Linked DNA regions of Xenopus tropicalis. The main gene of each other region encodes a partner of the protein of the gene in region 3 in a complex. Links are inferred from orthologs where the notes say so. Each region holds a gene or a part of one and is shown on either strand. Other genes may lie near its edges. The genes, in order: stac3, cacng1 and cacnb3.

Region 1 (8,553 bases), about 4.2 Mb from region 3:
ACAGATCCAGAGAGGGAAGAATGAATCAGAACACTGACCATAACCTAGGGAGGAGGAGAATACGCACATACATGCATTAAATCTTACTGGAGTGGTTGTCCGTTTTTTTTCTTGATTAAGCACCCCCTGGTGGACCAACCTTTGTTCAGCTCCCCTTGTAGCACATAATCAGGTTACACAAATACAAAAATATTGGTGTATTATAGTTCCAAGAACATCTAAGACATGATAAATAAGTATTCATCAAAAACAATGTCCTAGCTTAAAGGAAAACTATACCCCCAAACAAACGGTCTCTTTAAATAAGCTCGTAAGTAAAACCCTGCTTCACCTAAATAAACCATTTTCATAAAAATTTACTTTTTAGTAGTATGTGCCACTGGGTAATCCTAAATAAAGAATTAAGGGCCTCCCCCTGGGATCATAGGATTCACAGTGCACACAAACAAGCCAAGGCACACATACATGCTAGGTCCCATCAGCCAATGAATGGACAGAGTTCTGCCTTTTGCTCCCATACTACTTCCTGTTACAGTTAGAGCTACATCACTTCCTTTCAGCTGATCTCTGAGGGGGCACACAGCCCATCACTAAATGGTGGCTCAAGGGAAAGGATGTAATAGGGCAATATTTACTGATATATATTCCAGCAAGATTCTTTAATAGGTCACTTAACATAATATAAATATCTGTTGGTTATGTATTCATTCTGGGGGTATAGTTTCCCTTTAACTGTGAGCTTTCAGGTGTATCTAGGAGGGAATAAGAATTTCTCCACAAATCTTACTGTAAATGGACATTAGTCTTTAGTCCACCCTGTCACTGCCCAGGCCACTACAAAAGGGCCATCACTAGGGTTTGGCAACTGCTGTTATAATATTTATAATTTATTGTCAAAAAATGTTTACAAATCCTTGCTAGAATTTCTTTTGGTGATTGTTTTGGCAAATATACGCTTTTTGCACCATACCAAACAAAGAAAAAAATGTAAATTTTAAGCACATGCTTAATACATAATACAATTGAATCTTTGGAATAAAAAAAAAACAAAAGGGATACTCCCCAAACAAATGTCAATAACAGCATTGTACAATGATAGTATCCAAAGTGTTAAAGGGGTAGTTAACCTTCAAGTAAAATGTTAATATGCTATGGAAATGCAAATTCTTTTCAATTGGTCGTCATTTTTTATTTTTATTGTTTTTTTTTTAATTATTTGCCTTCTTCATCTGACTTTTACAAGCTTTCATATGGGGGTCATTGAGCCCAGCAGCCCATAAATAATTGTTCAGTGAAGCTACATGTCTATTGCTAGTGTCATTTTTTATTACTACTCTGCTGTTCATATTCTAATCTCTAAACCTGCCTGGTTTCTCTGGTAATTTGGAGCCTAGCATACAAAAAGAGAGGGGGATTGATCAATGCACATTCCCTGGTCCCCTGTTTCATACAGTAAGTAAATTGTCTATGCTAGTGCATGTATTGACAAAAAACAGGGGTTTTTAGTTACAAAATTATGATCATAAGATTGGTAAGCCACCATACCACGTCAAGGTAAACCCCATATGGTGGTCCTATCTATTTACCTCTGGTCATATTTTTCTAAGGCTGTCACTCCCGTGCCCTGTTGCCATTCTTGACCTGGGGGCTGGTTTGAGTCAGAGGGCTTAGTCACTCCCATGCCTTCTGCTTTTATAGAGAGAGATTGCCAGGACCACAGCTTGGTTCTACGGGCTTAATCCTCCCCCACGTGGCTTGTAAAGGAGAAGACTGCTATGGGCAGTAAGTTTGCTCCATCATAGTCATGTAGAAGTTATTGCAGCAGAATACAGATACTTCTCTTGATTTGTGGCTTCAGCAGAGTGGATTTCACTAGGGAAGCTACAAGTTTTTCTCTTGTTTTAGACATTTCCAGTATCTACAGGTATGTGAGTCTCTGCTCCATAGAGCATACAGTGGAAGTAGGGTGCCAGAAGGTTACAAAGGTTCTAAATTCTGAAGAACAAAAGAATGTAACGAATGCAGAGATCAATCCCATGCCTCTCTGAGTCAGAATGTAATGACAACCTTTTTCTGGAGCCGCCAGCTTTGTCACAGAACAGCTGAGCTTCAAAAAGGCAGGATTCAGCCTCTATTAATTTTTCGCCCCCTTTGTACACTGCCATAAAAATGGTTGATTCATAAATACTGACTTACCATAAGTTTATTTTGGCTGCTATCTAGATACAGTAGCCTACAGAGTAATCCAAATACATGAGGCTAAAATACAGGATTGTGCTAACTAGCATTATATCTGTGTGTTCAAGGTATGGGACCTGTTTTCCAGAAGGCTCAGGGTTCTTTCCATAATGTATGTATGTATATCTTTATTTATAAAGCGCTACTTATGTACGCAGCGCTGTACAGTAGAATTCATTAATACAGACAGGGGGTTAAAGATAATGGATAAATACAAAAGATAATGGATAAATACAAAGTACAACAATAAATACAAGGTGCAGTTGGAATAAGAGTCAGAAACACAAGATGAAGGAGGTCCCTGCCCCGTAGAGCTTACAATCTATATGGATCTATAATTTGGATCTTCATACTTTAAGTCCACAAAAAAAAAAATAATTAAACCGTTAAACAAACCCAATGGATGGTTTTACCACCAATATGGATTCACAGCTTAGCTACCATCAAGTACAAGGCACTGTTTCATAATTACAGAGAAAAAAAAATAAAATTATATGGGTAAAATTGAGTCTATGGGAGATGTCCCCTTCCATTATTTGGAGCTTTCTAAATAAATGGTTTCCAGATAACAGATCTCATACCTGTATCCGACATCTGATCCAGTCAGTAAATGCTTTCTTTGAGGATCCCTATGGGTGCCATGTGTAATCTAATGAAGCAACAGAACATTGTATTTCGTACCGAAAACTGCTAGTTCACTGAATGTTTTGGAACTATGAAAATTCTTTCATCTCATATTTTGTACAGGGAACCGCTAGTTCACAGAATGTTCTGGAACTATGAAAATTCTTTCATCTCATATTTTGTACAGGGAACCGCTAGTTCACAGAATGTTCTGGAACTATGAAAATTCTTTCATCATCGTATTTTGTACAGAGAACCACTAGTTCACTGAACGTTCTGGAACTATGAAAATTCTTTCATCACAAGGGTGTTCTAGAGCTGTTGGCGCCATACTCCCTACCAGCTGTATTCCTATATGCCACCTACACATTGTTTAAATACCATTGTTTGAATGCATGCAGTATAATTACGCAAATACAGCAAGCAGAAAACCATAGACGCCTGAAGCTTTCGGTATATTAACCACAGACAGTGCTTGGGGTTTTGTGGACAAACTATTTTCGTAAGCAGTGTAACTGAAGCCCTGGAGATATTAAAAGCCATGTTTGATGGCTGATAACAGCTGTACTCTGTCTGAGCGCTCTGATGGGACATCATCCCACACAAATTCTAAAGGCTTGGCAGCTGACTGTATACTTTTTGTAGATGCGAGGGGTTAAAATTAACAGCTTATGTGTCCAAAGACAGGACAGAAACAGTGAATGTGACACAGGCAGTTTGCATCTTGTTGTAAAGAGAAAGCACCTTCCAAAATATTTGGATGGAAGTAGATGTAGATGCTGGCACTCATACTCACACACATACTGTACATGTATAAAGGCTGCTACTGAATGGAAGAACATACTGGTGTTTCTTATTGGGGAGTCTTTGGCAGCACCTGAGTGATGTGTGTGTTTCACACTACCTTACAGCCCCAGGAGGCAGCTATTAGGACCAAACAAGAGGTAAAGAGATTAAATTACATTAGATCCCCTAACATATCTAGTATGGAATTATCCTAGAATAAATAAAAGTTAAAGACAAGAGAAGACAATTTTTTTGGCCACTAACCATTCCATTTTAGCTAGGGCAGTCTCATGTTTTGGGTTATGAAATGGTCGCAGGCTTACTGAAAAGTGGGTGGAGTTATGGGCAGGTTTGGGTGTGGTCTTGTGGAGTGGAAACATGGCCACAAATATCCCCATTTTTAATCAGCATTGGCAGGAATGTAAGCGGATGTTTGGCAAAGTGCCACTGACACACCCACTAAAGTTTATTGCTTACACACTGGGAGGAAAGATGGGTGATCACAGTGGGTTTTGAAAATGAGTCGATTAGATAAGATATGCCTATAAGCTATTTTATTGGTTCTCTAAAATGTATGGCAGCCAACTTGTTTCACAGCATGAAAAAAATTATCAGATTATAATGTCGGGGGGAATGAATAAGCAGTAGAATGTTTGAAAAATGTTTTAACTACTAGGCAAGACTTAAAGAAACAAGATCTGTTCGATTTTCTTTTACTTATGATATAAAATCAAATTGCAACAGTGTTTTGGTTTGCGCTGCCTAAGCTTAGTTTTCCAGCATTCCGTGTATCCATTTAAGGACTGTAAAGGCTGCAGTGATGGAAACAGTGGGTTCCGGACCGGTGCTCCATGACTCTTATAACCAAATGTTATTTTATAAGGATAGCTAGAATCTCAGCCATAAGGCAGAAGTAACAGGATATAGACATTAAATGCAAACATAAAGATAAATAAAATATTTCTAAAACTGAAATAAATCACTGTCACAAGAAATCCCTATACAGTGATCTAAAGTATTAGAACAAACACTATAATGATTGCATCCCCTGTAAAGCAATAAATCTTTGTCTAAAGAGCTTACAATTTGTGTTAAGCATTTGTTAGTGACTTGCTATAGTCAGAAAAGCAAATGAAACCAAGGTAATGTGCCTATTTCAGGAATAGGCATCTTGCCCCCTTTCCCCCATAATTCTTGCTGAACTACAACTATCAGAATCCCTGCGCTTCTGCCTCAGCTGAAACACTACAGTTCCACTGTATTTAAACTCACAAAAATATATCATTGCTATAAATAATGATAAAGATCAATATATTTATTAACAACCTTGATGTGGCCGAAACATTGTGTATGTGGAATTTTCTTTACAAGATAACTAAAATGAAATCCAAGCAGGTACATGATATTTTGTTTTATGTGGCATAAAGATCATTTAAAAGGAAATACAAAGAAGCATTAAAGGGCAAACAGAAATGGCGTACAATGCCTAGACAAACCTTACACACCTGTAGTTCTCAGATGGGGATCTACTGGAACATTTTGTCTTCAGAAGGCACTTTCAGACCTTAGGTGAGGGGCACAGAGATCCTTCGTTCACTCCTCTCAGATAATGAAACAAACTGCTCCTCAGAGGAGAGGGAGTGACAAGTGTGGAGGTGACAGGACAGCTGAGAGGCAAAGGCTGACACAGAGAAATCGGAAACTTTACAAGCAGCCATAGCACGGAGGCAGTAGGCCCAACCAGGAATTGGAGAGGTGGCTGAGAGGTGGGAAACTGAGGAAAGCGCAGGAGTCATTTCATTCCTGGGAGTTTGTCACACACACAAAACAATTCCTATTTTTACTGGAATTCAACTTGGAAATGATAATATGTTTTGGTTTTAAATGTGCTTTTTTTTCCCTCTTTCCCACTAATGAATATGAAATGCCAGGAAAAGGCTTCAGGCCTGTTTGTGGTTTGGCAGAAGGAATTCCAGAAGGGAGGCAAACAGAAAGGTAAATTATTCAGAAGAAAGAAAAACATCTATAAAGCTTAGATTGCTTAGATTAAATTGCTCTGTGAAATACTAAAGGTTATGTGTTGGGGAATCACCAGTTTATATGCTTTGTGTAATATAAAAATGGCAGTCAGTATGCTAAGCATTGGAAGATATTTTACCCAACACATTCACTGCATTCCATGGATAGAATTCAAGAGACTCAAAACATTCCAACACTGGCTCTAAACATTCTGTTATAATAATTTCAGGAAATGTGTTTCACCTTTAAATTAATTTCATGGGATGGCCAATTTTTAGCAACTTTTCAATGGTCTTTTTATATTTTTTGTATCATTTTGTGCAGCTTTCAAACGGGGGTTACTTATCTTTCTATTCATCCACTCTACTATTCATATTCCAGTCTCAAACTACTGCCTGGTTGCTAGGGTAATTTGAAACTTAGCAACCAGATAGCTGCTAAAATTCCAAACTGAATAGCTGCTAAACAAAAAGCTAAATGCATTGAAACCACCAATAATAAAAAATGAAGACCAACTGCAGATTGTCTCAGCATGTCACTCTCTACATCATACTAAAAGTTAACAGTGGCGTAAGAATGGAGGAAGCAGACCCCACAGTCACCAGGATGGGGGGGGGGGCAGGGGACAGGGGGGCCCGGACCACAGGGGTTGCTTCCTCCAGTACTGCATATAAATCTCTGCTCCGCGTCAGCTTTCAGGTAAGAGAACAGGCAGGTGTGGGGATTCATATGGGAGTGGGCACAGAAGCCAATTCAGGGGGGCAGGGGAGTCTCCAATGAGTCTCCTTGATGACCAAAGAACACAACATTCTATTTTTTTTTTTATTCTGTTCAAAATCTGGAGAATTATTCTCATAGCATAAAAAAGTGTACATTTTATTGTGACGCTCTTCCGTTTAGTGCTAATGTGCAGCTAGATTTGTTACGGGGGGGGGTTAACTTTCTAGAATGGAGCAGCTATAAGTTTATATGTGTTTCCAGCACCAGTTTGCTCGTCTGCTGATGCACCATGCGCAGGGCAACATCTTGATCAGCAGATGGAATAGTGGTACAAATGATCAACCAGTGATAATAAAAACAATTAAATGTCACCCGTTTAGAGGAGGCACAGGGTTGTCACCCTATTATATATGGCAGAGCATCTTTCATACAAAGAGCAGATAATGGGGAAGCCAAACAAACCACACAACATGGGTTTGACCTGCTGAAGCTACAAGTCAGTAACAGTTAGAGGGCTGCAGGTATGTACTGAAACTTTGTATCTTCACTGTCTCTGCTCTACCCTTACACTTACCCTGGCCTTGGATGTTCCCACACCATGAAACTATTAAGGGGAAGTATTACCCTTTTTCTCTAAAACAGACATTAAGGGTCTCTCTGCTAATTAAGAAATAGCTTTTGCATTTCATTTAACAATTTCAGTTAACAGCAAGTCAGCAGCACATTTATGTTTCGGTCTATAAAAAACATTAGATCTCTGCAACGGTGAGAAGTGGTACTGCAAGTCAGGGCTTCATGGCGACCCATTTAATAATTGTTGGCTATACACCCGTTTATTCACACACAGGCTTAGGGCGAAGACACACGGAGCTACTAGTAGCAGCTACTTGTCACGGCTACTAAAATAGACAATGCTGATCATTTACTGATAATTGTCTCTATGGGGCAGATTTACTAATCCCCGAACGGGCCGAAAGCGTCCCTATGAGTTTTTTCGTAATGAACGGTATTTTTGCGACTTTGTCGTTGCAGTCGCAACTTTTTCTTATGTCCCACTATTTTTTTTCGGCGCCATCGTGACTTTTTCGTATATTTTCCGCGACTTTTTCAAAAATCAGATTGGTTTTCCCGCCATTTACTATCGCTCAATACGATGAAAAAGTTGCGCAAAATACAAAAGTCGTGACGGCAACGAAAAAGTCGTGACAAATACGAAAAATCGCGACAGCGACGAAAAAGTCGCAAAATTTTCGTTTCCAATACGATTTTTTCCCTTTCGGGATTCGGATTCGTGGATTAGTAAATCTGCCCCTATGTGTGTTTTAGCAGAGGCAATTCATAGTATTGTCTATAGCAGGGTATTTTCTGGTGTTTAGTAGCCGTGACAAGTACTGTACTAAGTAGCTCCATTTCAGTATGATGTAGAGCAGTGATCCCCAACCAGTGCCTCAGGGGCAACATGCTGCTCCCCAACCCCTTGGATGTTGCTCCCAGTGCCCCCAAACCAGGGAGTTATTTTTTAATTCCTGACTTGGAGGCAAGTTTTGGTTGAATAAAAACAAGATTTACTACCAAATAAAGCCCCTGTAAGCTGATAGTGTGCATAGAGGCTGCCTAATAGCCAATCTTAGCCCTTATTTGGCTCCTCCATGAACTTTTATGGTGCTTGTGTTGCTCCCCAAGTCTTTTTACATTTGACTGTGGCTCACGAGTAAGAAAGGTTGGGGATCCCTGATGTAGAGAGTAATATTCTAAGACAATTTAAAATTGGTCTTCATTTTTTGTGTTTTTTTTGTTCAACAATTGTTCAGTTTGGAATTTCAGCAGTTCAAAGTACCTTAGCAACCAGGGAGTGGTTTCAATGAGAGACTGGAATAAGAATGTTAGAGGTCCCTGATAGAAAAATAACTAATAAAAAGTAACAATAAAAGTGCTAGCCTCACAGAGCAATAGTCTTTTGGCTGCTGGGGTCAGTGACCCCCATTTGAAAGCTGGAAAGAGTCAGATGAAGAAGGCAAATATTTAAAAAAAACCTATAAAAATAAATAATGAAGACCAATTGAAAATTTGTTATATTTTTTTTATATAACATACCAAAAGTTAATGAAAAATTGAACCACCCTTTAAGGATACAAATTCTGCACCCAGCATTATCCGGTTCAGCCC
Region 2 (8,430 bases), on a different chromosome or scaffold from region 3:
CCTATTTACGTACATACATACATACCTATTTACATACAGACGTACATATTTACGTACATACATACCTATTTACATACATACCTATTTCCGTACATACATACCTATTTACATACATACCTATTTACATACATACAAACCTATTTACATACATATTTACGTACATACATACCTATTCACATACAGACATACATATTTACGTACGTACATACCTATTTACATACATACATACCTATTTACATACATACATACCTATTTACATACAGACATACATATTTACGTACATACATACCTATTTACATACATACCTATTTACATACATACAAACCTATTTACATACATATTTACGTACATACATACCTATTTACATACATACCTATTTACGTACATACATACCTATTTACATACATACCTATTTACATACATACAAACCTATTTACATACATATTTACATACATACCTATTTACATACATACCTATTTACATACAGACATACATATTTACGTACGTACATACCTATTTACATACAGACATACATATTTACATACGTACATACCTATTTACATACATACAAACCTATTTACATACATACCTATTTACATACATACCTATTTACATACAGACATACATATTTACGTACATACCTATTTACATACAGATAAACCTATTTACATACGTACCTATTTACATACATACCTATTTACATACAGACATACATATTTACGTACATACATACCTATTTACATACATACAAACCTATTTACATACATATTTACGTACATACATACCTATTTACATACATACCTATTTACGTACATACATACCTATTTGCATACATACCTATTTACATACATACAAACCTATTTACATACATATTTACATACATACCTATTTACATACATACCTATTTACATACAGACATACATATTTACGTACGTACATACCTATTTACATACAGACATACATATTTACATACGTACATACCTATTTACATACATACAAACCTATTTACATACATACCTATTTACATACATACCTATTTACATACAGACATACATATTTACGTACATACCTATTTACATACAGATAAACCTATTTACATACGTACATATTTACATACATACCTATTTACATACAGACATACATATTTACGTACATACCTATTTACATACAGATAAACCTATTTACATACGTACATATTTACATACATACATATTTACATACGTACATACCTATTTACATACATACAAACCTATTTACATACATACCTATTTACATACATACCTATTTACATACAGACATACATATTTACGTACGTACATACCTATTTACATACAGACATACATATTTACATACGTACATACCTATTTACATACATACAAACCTATTTACATACATACCTATTTACATACATACCTATTTACATACAGACATACATATTTACGTACATACCTATTTACATACAGATAAACCTATTTACATACGTACATATTTACATACATACCTATTTACATACATACAAACCTATTTACATACATATTTATGTACATACATACTTATTTACATACATACCTATTTACATACATACCTATTTACATACCTATTTACATACCTATTTACATACATACCTATTTACATACATATTTATGTGCATACATACCTATTTACATACATACCTATTTACATACATATTTATGTACATACATACCTATTTACATACATACAAACCTATTTACATACATATTTATGTACATACATACCTAGTTACATACATACCTATTTACGTACAAACATACCTATTTACATACAGACATACATATTTACGTACGTACATACCTATTAACATACATACAAACCTATTTACATACATACCTATTTACATACAGACATACATATTTACGTACGTACATACCTATTTACATACATACAAACCTATTTACATACATACAAACCTATTTACATACATATTTACGTACATACATACCTATTTACATACATATTTACGTACATACATACCTATTTACATACAAACCTATTTACATACATACATACATACATATTTACATACATACCTATTTACATACATATTTACATACATACCTATTTACATACATACATATTTACATACATACCTATTTACATACATACCTATTTACATACATACCTATTTACATACATACCTATTTACATACATACATATTTACATACATACATACATATTTACATACATACCTATTTACATACATACCTATTTACATACATACATATTTACATACATACCTATTTACATACATACATATTTACATACATACCTATTTACATACATACATATTTACATACATACCTATTTACATACATACATACCTACATACATAGAGAAAGAAAGTTTGCCAGCGCTTAGTTTGCCTTTAAAAATAATTTTTACAAAAAATGAGGTGTTAGTACCACACTTTGGCCAAAATATGTAAGCTCACGTGCCGCGTCAAGGCCCCTCATTATACGCGAGTCCTACACTGTCTAATGACTTTGAGTCTGTGATGCAATTAAAATAAAGTCCCCCAGGAAACAATGTGAGTGAGTAGTGAGACCTATTGCACCTTTAGCTCAAACCCCAGCTCAGTAGCACTCACATGGAAGTGATTCATTGGTTTAAAGGCTACATAGCAGCTAGAAGCAATATTTGGCTACAATTTGTACACAAATTATACCTACATACATACCTATTTACCTACATACATACCTATTTACCTACATACATACCTATTTACCTACATACATACCTATTTACCTACATACATACCTATTTACATACATACATACCTATTTACCTACATACATACCTATTTACCTACATACATACCTATTTACATACATACCTATTTACATACATACCTATTTACATACATACATACATACCTATTTACATACATACATACCTATTTACCTACATACATACCTATTTACATACATACATACCTATTTACATACATACCTATTTACATACATACATACCTATTTACATACATACCTATTTACCTACATACATACCTATTTACATACATACATACCTATTTACCTACATACATACCTATTTACATACATACATACCTATTTACATACATACATACCTATTTACATACATACATACCTATTTACCTACATACATACCTATTTACCTACATACATACCTATTTACATACATACATACCTATTTACCTACATACATACCTATTTACATACATACCTATTTACATACATACCTATTTACATACATACATACCTATTTACATACATACATACCTATTTACCTACATACATACCTATTTACATACATACCTATTTACATACATACCTATTTACATACATACATACCTATTTACATACATACATACCTATTTACATACATACTTACCTATTTACATACATACCTATTTACATACATACCTATTTACATACATACATACCTATTTACATACATACTTTATGTATTTCCCTCTGCCCAGTGATCACTAACAACCCCCCATAGGGGTAGGAAATATGGGGTAGAGGGCAGGGAGAAGTTTAGGGGGTCCCTTGCTCTGCCTCTTACCCCCAGTGACCAGATACTGGGGAGGGGCATCACCTGAATCACCACACATGGGGCCACTGGGTGGGGGCAGACCCATGAGTGTGGGGGGGCTGCAGACAGAGGTGGCCCCTCCTATAATCCATGGGCCCTACTCCCCCCGCACCAGTGATAGATGGTCCTGCCTTGGTATACTGAGCCTCATAGGCCAGCGGATTGCCATATGGTCCTACCCAGTGAGTGCCCTGAGGTCCTACCCAGTGAGTGCCCAACGGTCCTACCCAGTGAGTGCCCAACGGTCCTACCCAGTGAGTGCCCTGAGGTCCTACCCAGTGAGCGCCCTGAGGTCCTACCCAGTGAGCGCCCTGAGGTCCTACCCAGTGAGCGCCCTGAGGTCCTACCCAGTGAGCGCCCTGAGGTCCTACCCAGTGAGTGCCCTGAGGTCCTACCCAGTGAGTGCCCTGAGGTCCTACCCAGTGAGTGCCCTGAGGTCCTACCCAGTGAGCGCCCAGAGGTCCTACCCAGTGAGCGCCCTGAGGTCCTACCAGTGAGTGCCTAACGGTCCTACCCAGTGAGCGCCCAGAGGTCCTACCCAGTGAGCGCCCTGAGGTCCTACCAGTGAGTGCCTAACGGTCCTACCCAGTGAGCGCCCTGAGGTCCTACCCAGTGAGCGCCCTGAGGTCCTACCCAGTGAGCGCCCTGAGGTCCTACCCAGTGAGCGCCCTGAGGTCCTACCCAGTGAGCGCCCTGAGGTCCTACCCAGTGAGCGCCCAATCGTCCTACCCAGTGAGCGCCCTGAGGTCCTACCCAGTGAGCGCCCTGAGGTCCTACCCAGTGAGCGCCCTGAGGTCCTACCCAGTGAGCGCCCTGAGGTCCTACCCAGTGAGCGCCCTGAGGTCCTACCCAGTGAGCGCCCTGAGGTCCTACCCAGTGAGCGCCCTGAGGTCCTACCCAGTGAGCGCCCAATCGTCCTACCAGTGAGCGCCCTGAGGTCCTACCCAGTGAGCGCCCTGAGGTCCTACCCAGTGAGCGCCCTGAGGTCCTACCCAGTGAGCGCCCTGAGGTCCTTCCCAGTGAGCGCCCTGAGGTCCTACCCAGTGAGCGCCCAATGGTCCTACCCAGTGAGCGCCCAATGGTCCTACCCAGTGAGCGCCCTGAGGTCCTACCCAGTGAGCGCCCTGAGGTCCTACCCAGTGAGCGCCCAATGGACCTACCCAGTGAGCGCCCTGAGGTCCTACCCAGTGAGCGCCCTGAGGTCCTACCCAGTGAGCGCCCTGAGGTCCTACCCAGTGAGCGCCCTGAGGTCCTACCCAGTGAGCGCCCAAGGGTCCTACCCAGTGAGCGCCCTGAGGTCCTACCCAGTGAGCGCCCAACGGACCTACCCAGTGAGCGCCCAAGGGTCCTACCCAGTGAGCGCCCAAGGGTCCTACCCAGTGAGCGCCCAAGGGTCCTACCCAGTGAGCGCCCAAGGGTCCTACCCAGTGAGTGCCCAAGGGTCCTACCCAGTGTGCCCGGCTGAGGTCCTACCCAGTGAGCGCCCTGAGGTCCTACCCAGTGAGCGCCCAAGGGACCTACCCAGTGAGTGCCCAACGGCAATAAGGAACCAATATCAATTGTTCATTAAGTAGGGCCCCCCCGGCCCCCACACTCCAGCCCCCCTATGTGGAACAGTTACAGGTTGGCCCCCAGATGAAATGGGAACCCTGGAATCAGAATTTGGGGGGCAAGTTGGGGAAAGAATCTTTGTTGCCTGGTTACCCTGACTTACTTACCCCCAGGAAGGCTCAGGGGGCCACATCCCTTGATCATAGTCTCCTGATCACTCATGAAAATCTTCTTCTTACACAGCCTCCATAGGCCAAAGTGGGCCACCTCGCAGGACTGGGTGTCGTCGTCCAGTTTGGGGCTCAGTACGGCCCAGTGGTCGCTCATTACGGCCGCCAACATGAGCGAGATGCCCACCAGGGCGATACAGGACGTGACCCGGATCTTCAGCACCTTCAGCTCCTTCATGGCTACTGGCTGGGGCCCTTGGCTAGTGAGCGCTCAGTCTACTCCCTCTGCTCTGTGGCTCCTTGTGCTACTGGGGCCGACACTGGGGGAGACTGGGATGGGCCGGGCCCGGGAGCAGCTGTTGGGATCAGTCACCAACTGGGCACAGACATGGGTGGGGGGGCGGGGGGGGCTTATTAATACACGGAGCGGGGGGGGGGTGCCACCTTCACTCCAAGTGTCGCAACTTCCCCCGTCCCTCCTGTCACTCTGATAGTTGCACAACCCCCTGCTATTGATCAACTGCCCCGTCCTACCCCAACTGCCCCATACTGCCCCTGATCCTACCCCAACTGCCCCATACTGCCCCTGCTCCTACCCCAACTGCCCCATACTGCCCCTGCTCCTACCCCAACTGCCCCATCCTGCCCCATACTGCCCCTGCTCCTACCCCAACTGCCCCATACTGCCCCTGCTCCTACCCCAACTGCCCCATACTGCCCCTGCTCCTACCCCAACTGCCCCGTCCTACCCAACTGCCCCATACTGCCCCTGCTCCTACCCCAACTGCCCCATACTGCCCCTGCTCCTACCCCAACTGCCCCATACTGCCCCTGCTCCTACCCAACTGTCCCATGCTGCCCCTGCCTCCTACCCCAACTGCCACATACTGCCCCTGCTCCTACCCAACTGCCCCCATACTGCCCCTGCTCCTACCCCAACTGCCACATACTGCCCTGCTCCTACCCCAACTGTCCCATGCTGCCCCTGCTCCTACCCCAACTGTCCCATACTGCCCCTGCTCCTACCCCAACTGCCCATACTGCCCCTGCTATTGATCAACTGCCCCGTCCTAGCCCAACTGCCCCATACTGCCCCTGCTCCTAGCCCAACTGCCCCGTCCTGCCCTACTATTGATCAACTGCCCATCCTACCCAACTGCCCATACCCCCCCCCCAACTGCTCCATACTGCCCCTGCTCCTACCCCAACTGTCCCATACTGCCCCTGCCCCTACCCCTGCTCCTACCCCAACTGTCCCATACTGCCCCTGCTCCTACCCCAACTGTCCCATACTGCCCCTGCTCCTACCCCAACTGTCCCATACTGCCCCTGCTCCTACCCCAACTGTCCCATACTGCCCCTGCTCCTACCCCAACTGTCCCATACTGCCCCTGCTCCTACCCCAACTGTCCCATACTGCCCCTGCTCCTACCCCAACTGTCCCATACTGCCCCTGCTCCTACCCCAACTGTCCCATACTGCCCCTGCTTCTACCCCAACTGCCCCATACTGCCCCTAGCCCAACTGCCCTGTCCTGCCCCTACTATTGATCAACTGCCCCGTCCTACCCCAACTGCCCCATACTGCCCCTGCTCCTAGCCCAACTGCCCCGTCCTGCCCCTACTATTGATCAACTGCCCCATCCTACCCCAACTGCCCCATACTGCCCCTGCTCCTACCCCAACTGCCCCATAATGCCCCTGCTCCTACCCCAACTGCCCCATACTGCCCCTGTACTAGCCTTTGCTCCTTTCAGCCTCTTGCACCAAGTCACTATCAACCCCCTCATTGCTTTATGCAGGATTGGGGGGGGGGGGGGCACAGTACCATGTAAAGTGACACCATGCAGTTTATTAAAGGGGAACTCTGCACTCCCCAATATCCACTTAATGTTCCTTAATGTTTTGGGGCCCAGATTAGGCCAATCGGATGCGGTAGTTCTGAGTGTAGAAGATGTGATTGGCCGGGGGGCAGCGGGATGGGCCAGTAACAATAGGCCTCTCAGTGGTCGAGGTGTTAATGTGAGTAAATCCCCCCCCCCCCCCCATCAGCCCTGGGACTTAGTTTCTCCCGCTGGCCCAGTCGGGGGTTAAGGGGGGAACTGAAGTTGGAGTGAAACGTGGGCCAATGTGCTTCCCTGGGCAAAGGCTGGGCCCCATTTCAGCAAAAGGAATGAACACTTTGGGTTTACTTGTCCTTTAAACAGCAGAAAGGAATCTGCGACTGATGCGATGGGACAAGTGAAGCGAATCCATTGCGACTCCTGAGCTACAGCACCCACAGTTAGGGAATCCGACTCCCAGGAACATCTGACTCACCCCAAAACCCCCCAGTCCCTGACTCGCCCCAAAACCCCCCAGTCCCTGACTCACCCCAAAACCCCCCAATCCCTGACTCACCCCAAAACCCCCCAGTCCCTGACTCACCCCAAAACCCCCCAGTCCCTGACTCACCCCAAAACCCCCCAGTCCCTGACTCACCCCAAAACCCCCCAGTCCCTGACTCACCCCAAAACCCCCCAGTCCCTGACTCACCCCAAAACCCCCCAGTCCCTGACTCACCCCAAAACCCCCAATCCCTGACTCACCCCAAAACCCCCCAGTCCCTGACTCGCCCCAAAACCCCCCAGTCCCTGACTCACCCCAAAACCCCCCAGTCCCTGACTCACCCCAAAACCCCCCAGTCCCTGACTCACCCCAAAACCCCCCAATCCCTGACTCACCCCAAAACCCCCCAGTCCCTGACTCACCCCAAAACCCCCCAGTCCCTGACTCACCCCAAAACCCCCAATCCCTGACTCACCCCAAAACCCCCCAGTCCCTGACTCACCCCAAAACCCCCCAATCCCTGACTCACCCCAAAACCCCCCAGTCCCTGACTCACCCCAAAACCCCCCAGTCCCTGACTCACCCCAAAACCCCCCAATCCCTGACTCACCCCAAAACCCCCCAGTCCCTGACTCACCCCAAAACCCCCCAATCCCTGACTCACCCCAAAAACCCCCAGTCCCTGACTCACCCCAAAAACCCCCAGTCCCTGACTCACCCCAAAACCCCCCAGTCCCTGACTCACCCCAAAACCCCCCAGTCCCTG
Region 3 (8,363 bases):
ATGTCATCAAAATTGCTAACTTTAGAAAAGCTGTGCGGCTTGGTACTTTGGAGTAGAAAGACATGGGTACCCATTTTAGATTCGGGGGAATGTGTACTTTCCAAAAATATATGACTTTCTGGGGTGAGCGTACTTTTTTGTAGCTTTATCCCACATATAATGATGTAAATGTGTTGATTTTGCAGGAGCTGAAATGACAGAAATGACAGTATATATGGGGGTATGTTCACATTGGGGCCCCTACATGCCACATACTTAGGTAAACCTATACATATTGGGCATCAAACTGTTCAGTGGACCCCTGGCGTTCAAATTCAGGGTGTTTTATCTTGGTACCTAATGCTATGTGGGAGATAAGATGCTTCAAAATGGAAGCTTTGAGGGGATTTTTGGAAATGTCATCAAAATTGCTAACTTTAGAAAAGCTGTGCGGCTTGGTACTTTGGAGTAGAAAGACATGGGTACCCATTTTAGATTCGGGGGAATGTGTACTTTCCAAAAATATATGGCTTTCTGGGGTGAGCGTACTTTTTTGTAGCTTTATCTCACATATAATGATGTAAATGTGTTGATTTTGCAGGAGCTGAAATGACAGAAATGACAGTATATATGGGGGTATGTTCACATTCGGGCCCCTACATGCCACATACTTGGGTAAACCTATACATATTGGGCATCAAACTGTTCAGTGGACCCCTGGTGTTCAAATTCAGGGTGTTTTATCTTGGTACCTAATGCTATGTGGGAGATAAGATGCTGCAAAGTGGAAGCTTTGAGGGGATTTTTGGAAATGTCATCAAAATTGCTAACTTTAGAAAAGCTGTGCGGCTTGGTACTTTGGAGTAGAAAGACATGGGTACCCATTTTAGATTCGGGGGAATGTGTACTTTCCAAAAATATATGACTTTCTGGGGTGAGCGTACTTTTTTGTAGCTTTATCCCACATATAATAATGTAAATGTGTTGATTCTGCAGGAGCTGAAATGACAGAAATGACAGTTCATATGGGGGTATGTTCACATTGGGGCCCCTACATGCCACATACTTAGGTAAACCTATACATATTGGGCATCAAACTGTTCAGTGGACCCCTGGCGTTCAAATTCAGGGTGTTTTATCTTGGTACCTAATGCTATGTGGGAGATAAGATGCTTCAAAGTGGAAGCTTTGAGGGGATTTTTGGAAATGTCATCAGAATTGCTAACTTTAGAAAAGCTGTGCGGCTTGGTACTTTGGAGTAGAAAGACATGGGTACCCATTTTAGATTCGGGGGAATGTGTACTTTCCAAAAATATATGACTTTCTGGGGTGAGCATACTTTTTACTAGCTTTATCCCACATATAATGATGTAAATGTGTTGATTTTGCAGAAGCTGAAATGACAGAAATGACAGTTCATATGGGGTATGTTCACATTGGGGCCCCTACATGCCACATACTTAGGTAAACCTATACATATTGGGCATCAAACTGTTCAGTGGACCCCTGGCGTTCAAATTCAGGGTGTTTTATCTTGGTACCTAATGCTATGTGGGAGATAAGATGCTTCAAAGTGGAAGCTTTGAGGGGATTTTTGGAAATGTCATCAAAATTGCTAACTTTAGAAAAGCTGTGCGGCTTGGTACTTTGGAGTAGAAAGACATGGGTACCCATTTTAGATTCGGGGGAATGTGTACTTTCCAAAAATATATGACTTTCTGGGGTGAGCGTACTTTTTACTAGCTTCATCCCACATATAATGATGTAAATGTGTTGATTTTGCAGAAGCTGAAATGACAGAAATGACAGTTCATATGGGGTATGTTCACATTGGGGCCCCTACATGCCACATACTTAGGTAAACCTATACATATTGGGCATCAAACTGTTCAGTGGACCCCTGGCGTTCAAATTCAGGGTGTTTTATCTTGGTACCTAATGCTATGTGGGAGATAAGATGCTTCAAAGTGGAAGCTTTGAGGGGATTTTTGGAAATGTCATCAAAATTGCTAACTTTAGAAAAGCTGTGCGGCTTGGTACTTTGGAGTAGAAAGACATGGGTACCCATTTTAGATTCGGGGGAATGTGTACTTTCCAAAAATATATGACTTTCTGGGGTGAGCATACTTTTTACTAGCTTTATCCCACATATAATGATGTAAATGTGTTGATTTTGCAGAAGCTGAAATGACAGAAATGACAGTTCATATGGGGTATGTTCACATTGGGGCCCCTACATGCCACATACTTAGGTAAACCTATACATATTGGGCATCAAACTGTTCAGTGGACCCCAGGCATTCATATTTAGGGTGTTTTATTTGGTTACTTTATGACCTGTAGGAGATAAGATACTATAGACTGGAAGCTTTGAAGCGATTTTTAAAAAAAATCACAAATTTTGATAAAAACCAATAACTTTAGGAAAGCATTGCGACTTGATAGTTTGGAGTAGACAGACAGTTGTGCCTATTCTGTATTCCCCAGAATCTGTTCTTTCCAAAAATGTACAATTTTCTGGGATAAACCTTCTGTTAGTGGAATTTTGGCCTTGAAATCCAAAGTATGCAGTTTTTTTGGAGCAGTGCTTTGGGAATTTGGTAGTGTACTGCTGGGAGTTTTTGACCTATACAAGTGAGAAATCTCCATAAAACTATATATATTTGGTATTGGCACGTTCAGGAGACATGGGACTTTCCAAATCAGTTGTATATTCGTGCATAAAATAATTTTTGTTTCTAGTATGTGTGATTATATTATGGAAAATTTGATTTTTTTTGCATTTTTAGACATTTAGAAGCCTATATCTTGTTACAGAATTGGAATTACACAAAAATTCTACCATATTTTGAAAGCTTAGGTTGTTCTGAAAAAAACGATATATTGTTTTCCTTGGTAAACTAAAAGTCCCCCCGAGGAAAGGCCCCTAAAGTGAAACAGTGCAAAATGTTCAAAAACTGTCTGGCAATACAAGTTCCGCTTTGACCAAAATGGCTGGCAGTAGAAGGGTTAAACCCTTCCAAAACCTAATAAGAATATACTAATTAGGATTCGGACTCGGTTTGGTATTTGCCCAACTCTTTTACGAAGGATTCGGGGATTTGGCCGAATCCGAAAAAGTGGATTCGGTGCATCCCCATAATACATAGTAACACCAACCTGGATTAGAGTCCATCACATTCAACTTGTAGGAAACATTTTACAAATTGATTTAGAAGAATGGGAGCTGCCAGTTGGGGCACACAGAGAGGAATGATTTCCTTCTGAACTGATTAAACTAAACTGATTCTGAATTATTCCCTTCTAAACTTAGAAAGGTAAATTGCAAACTAATTAGCCTAATATGGACTTACCCCATGTTCCATCTTCCCTCCAATATCAACACAATTAGTGGCCATTTGGCAAAGCACTGGTGGATACAATTTCTTATTCCGCAATAGAAGAGTTGAACTTTCATTTTAAACAATGAAAATTCAACTCTCAATAGTTTCAAAGGTGGCTTTTTGCTGTTCTCACCTTGCCATATGGCAGGAGCGGCCCTGCTGCCTAACACAGGCAGCACTGTATTCACTGAGGCTGTCACAGGTGCAGAGACCTGTGGCAATTCAAAAATGTGGAAGGCAGTGTGCAAAGTGCAAACTTAAGATTGCACCCTTTATTTGCACTTTGCAGCCTGCCTTTCACTTAGTTAATGACTCCCTATAGTCTTTATAGAACTCATATCTCCATCTTTTTCCATTCAATATAATGAAAGAAATTGATCAAGGCTTCTATCACAATGTGTAGTTACTCCTGCTGTATATCCATCACTGAACATGAGCTCATAGCCCTGCCAATAAAGGTCATTGCCTGTAGATGTGGAATTATTGCTCATTGTGAGTGGCCTTAAAGGACAGGGAATGGTAAGCTATGTGCCGGGGGCTGCTCCTTGCAGAATAAAAAAAAAATCCATTTGTGCCTTTCAAAGATTTTTTTCCCCCCCATTGTGTTGCCACAAGCCATTAATACAATTATTCGGCACTTAAATGTCTGTGAATCCATTATTTCAGCCAGGCTTAGGCACTGAGAGGTGGAAATGAAATGAGAGAAACAGAAGGAGGAGTAAGAGAGGCAGGGAAGGGGAGAAATTGTGTGTTTTGTGTGTGTTTGATGGAGAGAAAAGCTATGAGCACAGCGAGGCAGATAAACAGAGAATGCAAAGTCTGCTTTGTATATAAAAAAAGCTTCTGAGAGTGCGGCTTTGGGCTATTTATGCCCCTTCTATGTCTTTCTCTGACTCCAGTGCAACATTTCTTCTGAATGAGGTAACCATTTGCCTTTCTTTACTGCCTTAAAGGGAAGGTTAGTGTTGTTGCATTGAGGGCTATTTTATCTGAAGAACAGAGCAGCTTTTTGGGGATGTGCAATGAGCCATGTTGTGCTTAGTGCTTTTAATATAAAACCTCTTGCTTTTTACTGAAACACAGAAGAATGGTAAACAAAGGTAAAGGTGGGGATAAAAAGGCACAGGGGATAGGTACCACCATTGACCACAAACAGAAAGAAAACTGGGAAGGGGCATGCTGGTACATTAATATTGTGTGTGTGGGGGGGGGAAGCAGTGAATAGGGATACTACTAAATTGTCTTCTATAGGATTATGAGCAACACCAATGTCACTGTACTTTGTTGTATTGAATCGTTAGTGTATGAATCCAAAAATAAAGGTTAAAAATTAATAGTAATAAGGCACCATACACTCGGCAAAAGGAAAACTTAAAAGGCAGTAGCTATTGCCAGGTGGAATGATCTTTTATTATATGGAAATGTATAAGAAGAAAAAACAAATAGACAGCGATCATGGAGAAACTGACAGCTGCTGACAAGCAACAAATGAACATGATTTAGCCAGGGAGGGAGGCTGAGACGGAGGGAAAAGGATCAGGCATGACAGGCTCTGGCTCAGCTGGATTGCAAGAGATGGCTCCTAATCAGCTTGTCTCTGATTTTAATTGACTGTTAACTATCTCATCATTGCCTTCTTTCCCAAACCACCCATAATCCACGGCTGTGTTGAAATCAGCTTTTACACTTGCCTCCATTATCCTACCTACATGCCATGGTTCTGTTTTCTCTGTGACTAATAACATAGATTTGCTGAGCTACACATATAATAAGCAGTCGGGCCCCACTAACCCAATAGTCCTTGGTGGATTTACATTAGAAATTAGAGTATTTTTATCTGCCCAGAACCATTAAAGTGGAGATTCATCTTAAAACGAATTTACAGCATGGGAATGCTGTTCTTAGTCAATATCATCATCATTTATTATTATAGCACCAGAAATATCCAGTTTTGATTTTGATTTTTCTTTGTGATGGTTTAATTATTTCTGCTGCTGTGTTGTTAAAAGCTGAGCTTGTGTGGTTGCTAGAGTAAAGCTGGGCATACAATGTAAGATCCTCTTATTTGGCATGGTCACCAATACATGTTTCAATAAGCTGCCAAAGGATCAAGTCAGCACCTTTTATGAGCCCATGTATGGCAACATTACAAGGGATAGTGGTTTCAATGGCAGACTGGACACAGAGCCATTTCTGCAATAAGTGCAAATCACACCCAGAAAGTACTTTACACTGGTAAAAACAGAACCAATTTTCTATTGTAGCGCATTTGCTCACAGATGGCAGCAAAAACAAAAATTTTATGGTTTTCATGTTCTTTTCCTTTTCATTCTGCATTTTTATTCGTTTGTGCTTTTTCAATTTGGATCTTTTAATAAATGACTAGACCTTCATAATTTTAGTGGAAATGAGTTTAGTTGTGGTTTCAAAAAACTTATAATTATAGTTAGTGGATTAAACTAAATACAGGTATGAGATCCATTATCCAGATAAATAAATCATATCTTGAAAAAATATTTCCTTTTCTCTGTAATAATAAAACAGTATTATACAATTAATCCTTATTGGAGGCAAAACAATCCTACTGGGTTGATTTAATGTTTACATTTTTTTTTTAGTGCCGATCCAAATTATGAAAAAGACACCTTATCTGGAACACCCAAGGTCCTGAGCATTCTGGATAACAGATCCTTTACCTGTATAGTGACTCTATATGGTCTTATTGTTGGCCCAAGTGCTCTGTGTTACATAAGCCTGATTTTGGCCGCAACTTGATGTGCTAAATTGGCCAAAGATTTATTTGTTTGCCATCTAAATGAGTACATTTTACGCTGTTTACCCTATATAGCTGGCCATCTTTGGTGATCACAAAAGGACTGTTTCGGGATATAAATGTGCATGTTTTAAGATACATTAATGGCAATTAATGGCAATGATAAGGGTTACGTGAAAGAACATGAATTGTTAGATTTAGGCCTTAAAACTAATGCCACAAGGAGTGTATTTTCAGCAAGCCTGAAAAATGTAACAATTGGCCTACCTTATGCCTGCACCCGAATGAGTGGAATACACTGGGGGCAGGCACATGTAGCCGATATCCACCAAAAAACGTGAGACTTTGCATTTTCAGCAGATATTCACTGTGGGCCCTATCACTAGAATGTAAAGGCTGCTCCCCTCCATAAGTATGCCATTGACTGTACTCCTTGCCATGTGTAATGTACAAAAACATCATAATGATGTCACTACTAAACATGCGTTAATGAGTTTGCAAGTCGGTGCAGAAATGCAGAAAACAGATTGTTGCTGGGTTTGAGCATACTGGGGACGTGGCCAATTAGGCATATGGTGTCCCTCCCTCTATTTTTTTAGACAACCCTGGTTGGAGGGATGGGTAAAGCATTCTGTTCCTCCCCTAATTCATTCCTTGCTGGAATTCTGTGGCCCCTATCCATACATAAGACATTGCATGAAACTGTATGTTTCATGCAATGTCTTATGTATGGATAGGGGCCACAGTTATGCACAGATACATATGAAGGCTCATTTCCAAAAAGAGTACAATGTGCAATGTACAAACTGCAAAATTCAAATGCAAATCACCATTTTTTTTCAGCATAAAGCAGGCAGAGTATGACACACACAGGCAGCATAGGGCAGGCAGAGTATGGCACACACAGGCAGCATAGGGCAGGCAAAGTATGGCACACACAGGCAACATAGGGCAGGCAGAGTATGGCTCGCACAGGCAGCATAGGGCAGGCAAAGTATGGCACACACAGCCAACACAGGGCAGGCAGAGTATGGCACACACAGACAACATAGGGCAGGCAGAGTATGGCACACACAGGCAGCATAGGGCAGGTAGAGTATGGCACACACAGGCAGCATAGGACAGGCAAAGTATGGCACACACAGGCGGCAGCATAGGGCAGACAAAGTATGGCACACACAGGCAGCATAGGGCAGGTAGAGTATGGCACACACAGGCAGCATAGGGCAGGCAGAGTATGGCACACACAGGCAGCATAGGGCAGGCAGAGTATGGCACACACAGGCAGCATAGGGCAGGCAGAGTATGCCACACACAGGCAGCATAGGACAGGCAAAGTATGGCACACACAGGCAGCATAGGGCAGGCAGAGTATGGCACACACAGGCAGCATAGGGCAGGCAGAGTATGGCACACACAGGCAGCATAGGGCACGCAAAGTATGGCACACACAGGCAACACAGGGCAGGCAGAGTATGGCACACACAGGCAACATAGGGCAGGCAGAGTATGGCTCACACAGGCAGCATAGGGCAGGCAAAGTATGGCACACACAGCCAACACAGGGCAGGCAGAGTATGGCACACACAGACAACATAGGGCAGGCAGAGTATGGCACACACAGGCAGCATAGGGCAGGCAGAGTATGGTACACACAGGCAAGATAGGGCAGGCAGAGTATGGCACACACAGGCAGCATAGGGCAGGCAAAGTATGGCACACACAGCCAACACAGGGCAGGCAGAGTATGGCACACACAGGCAACATAGGGCAGGCAGAGTATGGCACACACAGGCAGCATAGGTCAGGCAAAGTATGGCTCACACAGACAACACAGGGCAGGCAGAGTATGGCACACACAGGCAACACAGGGCAGGTAGAGTATGGCTCACACAGGCAGCATAGGGCAGGCAGAGTATGGCAGTACCCTACACTGCCTTACCCTGACTGTGTGTGCCATACTCTCCCTGCTTACCCGGCCTATGTGTGCTATACTATGCCTACCCTACCCTACCTGTCTGGTTTTTGCCACCCCGGTAACGTGAAGGTTGTTGCCGTCATGAGGTGAGTTTTCAGCTTGCCCTGCATATAACTTTACCTCTCTCAGATTCAGTCATACAGTCAATGTCACACATTTCAGGGATAAATTATCCTTTATCCCCCAAATGTGTGACATTGACTGGCAGGGCCAGTACAATACCTACTGGGTGGCAACCCTAGCAATTGTG

Evidence for each region.
Region 1: cacnb3 (region 3) and stac3 share a complex: the UniProt entries of both Homo sapiens proteins name them as parts of the calcium channel complex. The link is inferred for Xenopus tropicalis from reciprocal best matches to the Homo sapiens genes CACNB3 and STAC3.
Region 2: cacnb3 (region 3) and cacng1 share a complex: the UniProt entries of both Homo sapiens proteins name them as parts of the calcium channel complex. The link is inferred for Xenopus tropicalis from reciprocal best matches to the Homo sapiens genes CACNB3 and CACNG1.

Annotation. Positions count from the first base shown.
Region 1 is NC_030678.2:140,074,392-140,082,944, forward strand, and holds the start of stac3 (SH3 and cysteine-rich domain-containing protein 3), read right to left. Parts: upstream 5,253-8,553; 5' UTR 5,145-5,252; intron 1-5,144. UniProt on the Homo sapiens protein: Required for normal excitation-contraction coupling in skeletal muscle and for normal muscle contraction in response to membrane depolarization. Required for normal Ca(2+) release from the sarcplasmic reticulum, which ultimately leads to muscle contraction.
Region 2 is NC_030686.2:51,095,569-51,103,998, reverse strand, and holds the start of cacng1 (voltage-dependent calcium channel gamma-1 subunit), read right to left. Parts: upstream 5,633-8,430; 5' UTR 5,576-5,632; coding exon 5,335-5,575; intron 1-5,334. UniProt on the Homo sapiens protein: Regulatory subunit of the voltage-gated calcium channel that gives rise to L-type calcium currents in skeletal muscle. Regulates channel inactivation kinetics.
Region 3 is NC_030678.2:135,901,041-135,909,403, forward strand, and holds the start of cacnb3 (voltage-dependent L-type calcium channel subunit beta-3), read left to right. Parts: upstream 1-4,130; 5' UTR 4,131-4,241; coding exon 4,242-4,283; intron 4,284-8,363. UniProt on the Homo sapiens protein: Regulatory subunit of the voltage-gated calcium channel that gives rise to L-type calcium currents. Increases CACNA1B peak calcium current and shifts the voltage dependencies of channel activation and inactivation.